Linked DNA regions of Nothobranchius furzeri. The protein of the gene in region 1 purifies or fractionates together with the protein of each later gene. This does not show direct contact. Links are inferred from orthologs where the notes say so. Each region holds a gene or a part of one and is shown on either strand. Other genes may lie near its edges. The genes, in order: cep63 and fxr1.

The links.
Region 2: the proteins of cep63 (region 1) and fxr1 purify together in Homo sapiens (co-immunoprecipitation; 3 studies listed by BioGRID and IntAct, with this or other methods). This does not show direct contact. The link is inferred for Nothobranchius furzeri from reciprocal best matches to the Homo sapiens genes CEP63 and FXR1.

What each region holds. Positions count from the first base shown.
Region 1 is NC_091756.1:60,714,781-60,719,200, reverse strand, and holds the start of cep63 (centrosomal protein of 63 kDa), read right to left. Parts: upstream 2,812-4,420; 5' UTR 2,659-2,811; coding exon 2,618-2,658; intron 2,518-2,617; coding exon 2,340-2,517; intron 780-2,339; coding exon 684-779; intron 605-683; coding exon 515-604; intron 446-514; coding exon 341-445; intron 230-340; coding exon 56-229; intron 1-55. Other genes in the region: im:7152348 (tripartite motif-containing protein 3), read left to right, coding at 4,260-4,420. UniProt on the Homo sapiens protein: Required for normal spindle assembly.
Region 2 is NC_091748.1:72,983,311-72,987,127, forward strand, and holds part of fxr1 (RNA-binding protein FXR1), read right to left. Parts: coding exon 3,617-3,817; intron 3,454-3,616; coding exon 3,385-3,453; intron 2,915-3,384; coding exon 2,832-2,914; intron 1,372-2,831; coding exon 1,213-1,371; 3' UTR 1-1,212. UniProt on the Homo sapiens protein: mRNA-binding protein that acts as a regulator of mRNAs translation and/or stability, and which is required for various processes, such as neurogenesis, muscle development and spermatogenesis.

The DNA.
Region 1 (4,420 bases):
TTTGGTATCCAGCTGAGAAGCCACACATCTCACATGTTCCTGTCGCCCTGCTAACCTGCTGCTCTCTCTGGGACTGTCCCAACAGCACCTCCAGCGGTCTGAGGCGATCCAGTTCCAGTTCCTGTGAGTGCAGGCTGGCCTGAGCCTTCTCCAGCTGTGCACGCAGATGCTGCACCTCTGAACAGCACTCCTTGTGTTCCCTCTCCACCCGCCCCGATGCCCATTGGCTCTGGAAAAACAAATATTACTGAAATGCAACAACAATGCAGCAGTCTTCCACACTTTTATACACTAAATATGTCTGGCTTCCTGAGTGAAAGTCATAAATGTGCTTTTTAACCTTTAAGTGAGCAAGCTCCTGGTTCAGGCTTTTATTCTGGAGCTCCAGTGTGGTCAGCTGGTTTTGGTACCGAGTTCGCTGCTGCTCAGAGCGCTGCTGATGCTTCTGCACCAATGTAAGAACGATTAATCAAATTCCAGGAGATGGAAATGCCAGGAAAATCTATTAGTTCACCTTTGCAAGCTCAGTCTCCTTTCCACCTCCACTTGTCTCCTTAAGCTGTTTGCGATGAAGCTTCTGGTAACTTCTCTTCAACTTGTCCAACTATAAGAAACGATGTTAACAATAAACATGATACAAGCGATATAGCTGAGTGCATTTGAGGAAAAACAGATGATCACACCTCTTCACGGAGTCTCTTTAGTTGTTGTTCGTACTTGGATACCAACTCTTGCCGATCCGTCTGAACGGCTTCAAGCTGCTTGTGAAGAAGTCCAATCTGCAACAAATACATGAGGCATAATACTTCTGTTTTTATGTGTTTTTTAGATGCCTCTAAGGCCTTTGACAGAGTCAATCATCAGAAATTATTCATCAAGCTACAAAACAGAGGGGTCCCTTCTTACCTAGTTAGGATTTTGCACTTCTGGTACTCTCATCAACTGATGCAGGTAAAGTGGGGGACAGAAGTGTCTGAACCTTTCTCCGTATCAAATGGAGTCAGACAAGGCGGGATTCTGTCACCTGTCCTTTTTAACCTGTACCTTGACGAGTTGTCTGTTACTCTGAATGCTAGTAAGACTGGATGCTTGGTGGGTGACCGACTGGTAAATCATTTAATATATGCAGATGACCTAGTCCTCATGTCTCCCTATAGCGCAGGCCTGCAGCAGCTGCTCAGGGCATGTGCTAAGTATGGTGAGCAATTTGACATCCTGTTTAACCCTAAAAAGAGTGTGGTTATGATTGCTGCTACTAAAGGGGACCTGAAGCTTAATTTTCCATCTTTTAACTTAACAAATCAGGTCCTGGAAGTGGTAAGCAAAGTAAAATATTTGGGGCACATTTTAAGAAGTGACCTCTGTGATGACGAGGACATTAAGAGGCAGTGTGGTAAGCTGTACATGCAGGCTAACACTCTGGCACGTAACTTTGGCATGTGCTCAGATCCTGTAAAAGTGTCCCTCTTTCGTTCCTTTTGTACTCCTCTCTATACCGCCCACTTGTGGTGCAACTATAGTAAGGTAGTAATGAAGAAGCTTCAAGTGGCTTATCAGGATGCTTTTAGAATCCTCATGAAGCTCCCTAGATGGACTTCGGCAAGTCACATGTTTGTTACGAGTAACATCCCAACTTTTCATGCGCTTCTGAGGCTCTTCATGTACAAATTCATCTGCCGACTGAGTTTGTCAGCTAACGCGGTTGTTAGAGCTCTGTCATCTTTATCTTACAGTGACACGAGGTACTCCTCAGTCCTTTTTAAACATTGGAGCAACTGCCTATATGGTTTGTAATTAGAATGTGTTTGTATTTTATTTTTTTATTTATTTTTTATTTTTTTTATTCTTGTTATGGACATATCCCTTGTCTGAAATAAAGTTTGATTGATTGATTGAATAGGTGATGGTGTTATTATGGGAATAGAGATAAAATGCTTCATGCCACAACTATTTACTGTCTCCTTCCTTACGGTTTAAAACATGTCCTAAAACCAACATCCTCACACATTTACATTTATTTTTGAAACATTTAATTGAATCTGCAGGAGGTTTTGTTTTGAGAGTACAACGAATCTTCATAGCAGAGGCTTTCTGATCATTTAAGGAATAATTTAGTAAGTCTCCAACATTAGGTGAGGCCAGAAATGGAGACAGTGGCCATAAAAACTGTTTTAGCAGGAGAGTCCATGTTTGGAATTGGAAATGGGATGGAAAAATGTTACCTTCAAAATGCTGCATGTCAAAATAAGGGCATGCTTGCTTTTTTATTACAAGCTTCTGTGTTGATTAAATTACTTTTGTGATTCTTTTGAGCAAAAAAGGATGAATCGTCACTTCACCTCCAGATCCCTCCGTTCAATGGTAGTCTTGGAGGTTAAAAGCTCTTCTTCTCCACTGGTGACCCTGAGCTGCAGAGCGTGGAGCTCAGCCTCCCACTCCCTCTTCTGATGATTGATCATAATGTCAATCTGTCTCATCAGCTCCTGCAGCTCAGGCTCGCATGAGGACAGGACAGAGCTGCGTAGCAGAAGATTAAAGCGTGTTATCAACTTCATTTGTGTAAACACGCATCTAAAGATGGCTGACTTAGCCTCACGACAAACCAAACGTCTGTTACCTTATATCAGGATTCTGTATTGATTCCAAAGAAACCTCCATCTCGTTCAAAAATGGCGCCGTCTGTCCCCTCTGCGCGCTAAGGTGCTACAACACGGTGGACTCTATCCAGATTGTCCTTACAAGCTAAGACCGGCACGTTGTAGAGTATAAACAAGTTTGATGACATCGCTACGTCAACAACACTATTCGGCGTTCAACTGCTTTTCTTTACAAAGAATTTCCGGTTCCAAGGCGGTACATCCGCCTTCTAACTGTGACCTCATTACGTTTTACGTAGGCAACATTTTAAAAAATGTAATTTATTATTTGGTCTTCGACTTTAAAAATAAGGTTTGGGAGGGAAAATTAAAGAAAAAACAAACACATTAATCTCACGGCTTAAGATTCAGATGTCGTGTAACGTGAAGGTACGTCTGAAATTCCATGAAATTAGACATTCTATTATAGTGTGTAAAAATACAATAATACTTTTAAAACAGTACATTTACAGAAAAACTACATATCACTTTAAATTAACTTTAAATTATTTTATGTGTCTTTCCCGGACACGTGGCTCGTTGGTCTAGGGGTATGATTCTCGCTTCGGGTGCGAGAGGTCCCGGGTTCAAATCCCGGACGAGCCCATAATTTTTAGCATGGTCATTTAGAATGTGATTTGAAAATTCGGCGGTCTGCTGTCCGAACATATTGGTCGCTGTGTCGCTGCGTGAGTGTTGTATAAATTATCTGCTTGGCCATGGCTAGGGAAGAGGGATATCATGATAGCTTTTCCGTTTTTACCGCAATCCCGCGAGCAAGGTGTCATCGTGAACCGATGCTTCAACAGCACAAATGTCAAGAAAACATGAAACATTTATTACCTACAATATACATATGTTCCTTTAACACATCAGCATTTTGTTGGTAGAGGGGTATGATTCTCATATTGAATGCGAGAGACTCCGGGTTCAATTCCCAGATGTGCTAAGTTTTCTTTATATGTCTTTTGAGAAACATTTTATCAGGATGTGTTATGGTTAAGGAAAAAGCAAAACACATCACCTACTTTGGAACGTTCATCAACCCCTCCTTTACCACTCCCCCTTCCTCACCCATCTCTCCACCTGCCTTCATTCAAACTAAACAAAGAGCGTTTCCTCCGCTCTGCATCCCCAGCTGTTCATGGGAGGGCTTTTGGCTGTTTCGCCCCCACCAACGCAACAGACGCTCTAGCAGGAGGCAGGCAAGCTGCTCTCTGACATCATTCACAGCACAGACACCGAGCTGCACAAACCTAAAAGAAAACACCGCAGATACACACATCACCTGTAAGTAATCTGTTTTATTACAAACTATTATCTGACCATGGCTGTTTTGTGTTTCACTCAAGCTTATAAAAAAACCAACAGCATCCAACTTTAGGATTTAAGTGATTCATTTTGATGGTATTTGAAATGAACATAGAATTTGGTTCTAAACAAATTCTTCCCTTTTAAAACGGTTTCTAATACTGAAGATATTTGATTGAAAGACAGACAGCGTTGGAACTTTGACATCAGCTCTGACATCTTTCCTATCGACAGACTTTTAGATCGGAACTCACTCGGATCATCTCAGAGGACTCTTTTTTTTGTGATCTTCTGGGGTCTACCAGCTTGACGATGGTTTTGTGCGACGATGGAGAGTGCAGCGTCTGCCTCTTGCCATATTCCCGCATGGACAAGATCCCACGAGTGCTTCACTGCAGGCACACTTTCTGTGACCCGTGCCTGGACACCATGTCGCGGGTCAGGAGCGGGCTCCTCACTGTGCCCTGCCCTCT
Region 2 (3,817 bases), on another chromosome or scaffold:
TGGGCCCAAAAGGCTGAGCAAAGGCGCTCTTGACGGGTTTTATTTTGATTTTATTGGGTTTCTGAAGTCTCAGTATCCTTGTGAAACTTGATCAAACTGCCTGATGTTTCCAGGAAACCTGGTGGCTACATATCGGTGCAGCGTTTAACCGCTGCGAGCCAGTTTTCTCACTCAACTACAATCAGCTTCAACAGAAGTCGGTTACGCTTCAGTGCAAACAAAACGTCTCGTCTCGTCTCAGATATGCTGTAATAACATTTGTCCTATGATCAGAGTGGTTGCATATTAAAGAACAGGAAGCAGCTAATGTCAAACTCCTCAACAGATAAATATATAAAGGATAACGGGACCCCCCCACCCCACCCCACCCCCACAACATTAAGAGCAGACACCTGATTTTAGAGAGATGGCTCTGAAATCCTTTGAGGGCGTTTTGAGGGTTCGCCCTCACCGGCCTCTAGCGGAGACGCCTCGTCTGTGGCAGGTGAGGGAAACCGGGTCACGCGGAGAGATGTGGAAGGATTTCAGGTGGAGCGCAGAGCCAGGCAGCAACATGTTGAATCTACTCTCAAGGCACAACAGCTGATCACACGTGAATCAATTCTACTTGAGTTTGCGACAAACCTATCTGCAGCGTGGTAAGGCTCATGCAGATGTTCACTTTTCAAACTACCTCGGATGGAAAAAGCATCCTGGAGAAGACAAAACTAAAATAAAAAATATGTTGCCACGCGACAAAAAAACAGGCATCGTTGTAAAACTTTGCCAGAATTAAAAAAACAAACTGCTGCATTCACACCACAGAATGGATTTGAGAGGAATTCCTGTCTGCGTTGTATAAACACTGCTTTCAGCCAAACCTCCATCGGAGCTCTCGGTGAAGAGCAAGCTAAAGAGGTGTGTGTGTGTGTGTGTGTGTGTGTGTGTGTGTCCCTAAACATGTGTCTGACTATCTTTGGCAAGCTCGTACTGGAAGAACTACTGAGAAAGAAAACTAACTAGTAAAATGAACAGTTGAACAGATAAAGGTGTAAATGAGAGGTTACGGTCTTGTGCTGCAGAACAGGTTTCAAATATTTGTTAAGTAATAAAAAGGACAGTGCTTGTTGTGTTTAAATGTTTAGTAAACTTTGACGCCTCGCCATGGAGACGCAACCAAGTATCCCCAAAGGAGTCCAAATATTTGAAACCGTTTTCTTTGCTCCGGTCTAACTAGGAGAGTCCGTTAACGACAGGTTCCGGGTTCGAGTCCTCCGTGTGAGAGGCTTTGGCGGGCTTCTCAGGGGGAGACTTGGTGGCGCCGTTGCTCGAGCCGTTGGTGGTTGGCGGAGCAGACTGCGGACTGTGCTCAGCAATAGCCTCCACCTGACCCTGGATAGATGAAAGGAAGTTTTCAGCTAAAGTGCGTTTAGGAAATGACCGCACTGCCATTTTTCTGATAGAAAGTTTCATTTGAGTTACGACTTTCTTCAAATCAAGCTTCAGCACAAAATTCACTAAGTACATAATCACTCACAAACATGGCCGAACGCGACATCACACCGTCAAAGCATTAAAGCTAACACTAAGGATGAAATCTGAAGGTAACTGGATGTTCTTCAGGGCCGCCTGAATGATTCTTCACTCAAAAGCAGCCGTTACAACCAACGCCGACGCATTTTACAGGCTAGCTTTGAGTTACCCTAACTCTGCAAAGGCTTGTGTCATCAGAAACGTTCAAACAGGTTTTGAAAGAAGAGAACTTGAGCTTCCACGGCTGCAGTCTTACCACGATAAATCCCCTTCTGCTGCTTCAGGAACCCAGATATAAAAAACATGGGCCTGCGCAGCGCTACAGGAAAAAAAAAACAACTAAAGCTGGGCGGACACTGTGCGACTTTTTCACTCGTAGCACTCATCTTCAGCTCACACTGTACGACTTCCTCGCAGGGCAGATCTCACGAGTCATGTGCTCACGCTGTACGACCCAGTTCTCGGATGCGACCTGACTGCTCACACTGTACGTCTGGTAGCAACACGTCGGCCCTAAAAATATGCTAAAAAAAGCAGTTTTTACTCAACACGTCAGACTTTTTTGTCTTGTTTTGCCTGTTGTCCTTCGGGAGTCCTGCAGGAGGACACACGGGGATTTATGGGGGTTGGATGAGGAAAACAAAATAAAGTAAATCTGTGTTTTGTTATCAGTTTAATTTGACATGAACACGACAAACACGCTTTATTGACAATATTTGTCATTGTGTGTAAAAAAATGTTTAGAAATAAAAACGAACAGCGTGTGTTATTAGGGAAATAGCGGGCGAGCGGTGTTGATGCAGGATTGCGCATGCGCCGTGAGCGGTTCTGGTACTTTTTGGGTCGCAGCGCTGCTTCAACAGTGCGATACCCTCACGAGGGACGAGCAAAATATCAAACACGCCAGAAGTCCGTGCGAGCTCACGATTGCTGATCGGTAGCTGGTCACGTGGTGTTAATCGCCTCTCGTAACCCCCTGTACACTACACGACGCTCAGCGCAAAACTCGCCCCGATGTCGTGGATTCTCGCACGAGTGGAAAATCGGCTCAAAAAAGTGAAAAAGTCGCACGGTGTGCGCCCGGCTTAAAAGGAGCCGAAGCTTTGCTCCTTCAGCTCTGGCATTGGCCGATTATGTTTGTCTGAAATCGAATTGTCGACCAGAAAACAGGTGATCATTCAGCTCTATAAGACAGTTTCTTGCTTCTAAAATAAGAGATTCTCAGTCGAACACCAGAGATGCTCACTTTACCAGAATTACCACTTTATAGAAACTAACGGACATCTGTCGGCAGTCACATGCAGCATGGCGGTACTGACCACATCCTTGGGTTTCTTTGTGTCCTTGGTGTTTGTCTGCCTGCTCTGAGATTCAGCCCTGGATATGTAGTCAGCCACGGTCACTGCACAAACACCACAACACCTCTGGTAAGGCACCGGGGCAGAGAACTTATGCCACATCCGCCCCAGTTTTCACAACATCAGTAGGACTTCCATTTGTGCAAATTACAACGCACAGACATTAGTGAAGCTTGCAGAGTCGGGAACACCGGACACAAACATCAGCGAGGACTGATTAAGTATTTTAAGTTAACTTAAAAATGTAACTTTTGCTACGGCAGAATCGCAACGCAGATAGTGAGTTTAGAGTAAAACAAGTTCAGGCTGGAAAAGCAGTGGTTCAAATCTCGCATTTTAATAGAAGCACAACTGTTAGATGCTGTTGGACAAGAAGAAACCTCTTAGTTTTCCAAAACCGCCAACAACGCTCATGCCAGTTAATTCTGCACCTGCAGCTCAGTATGCAGTGTTCTGTTTGATGCCACTAAAGCTGCAGCCTGGAGAACACACACCAGCGGTTGCCATTGGTTACCTGGCTGCCTCTCCTCTGGCAGGTGGGCGCGGCGACGCCGGCTACGGTTGCGGCGCTGAGGTTTTACATCTAGGAGTTTTAGGTTTTCAAAAGCAGAATGATTGGTGTCTTCAACATTAAACGCTACCGTAAACTGCAGAAGCTTCTCCTACTGTCAAAATGCTGCTCTGATGACAACACCTAGCAATGCCACTCTGATTACATTCAAAGACGACTCATCCATCCTCCATACCTAAGCCATTTTCACTCAGCGAGGCGTTGTCAGACTCGCTCATGCCATCCATCAGAGTGGCATCTTCATCTGTTCTGCGACGCCGTGACCTTCGGCGGCGGTTTGCTGGCAGGTTGGACTCGCTGGCATCGGTGTCAGCTGTCTGGTCCGTCTCAGTGTTTGCCTCCAAGGTTCCATAGGGTTGGTAGTTGTCATGGTCCC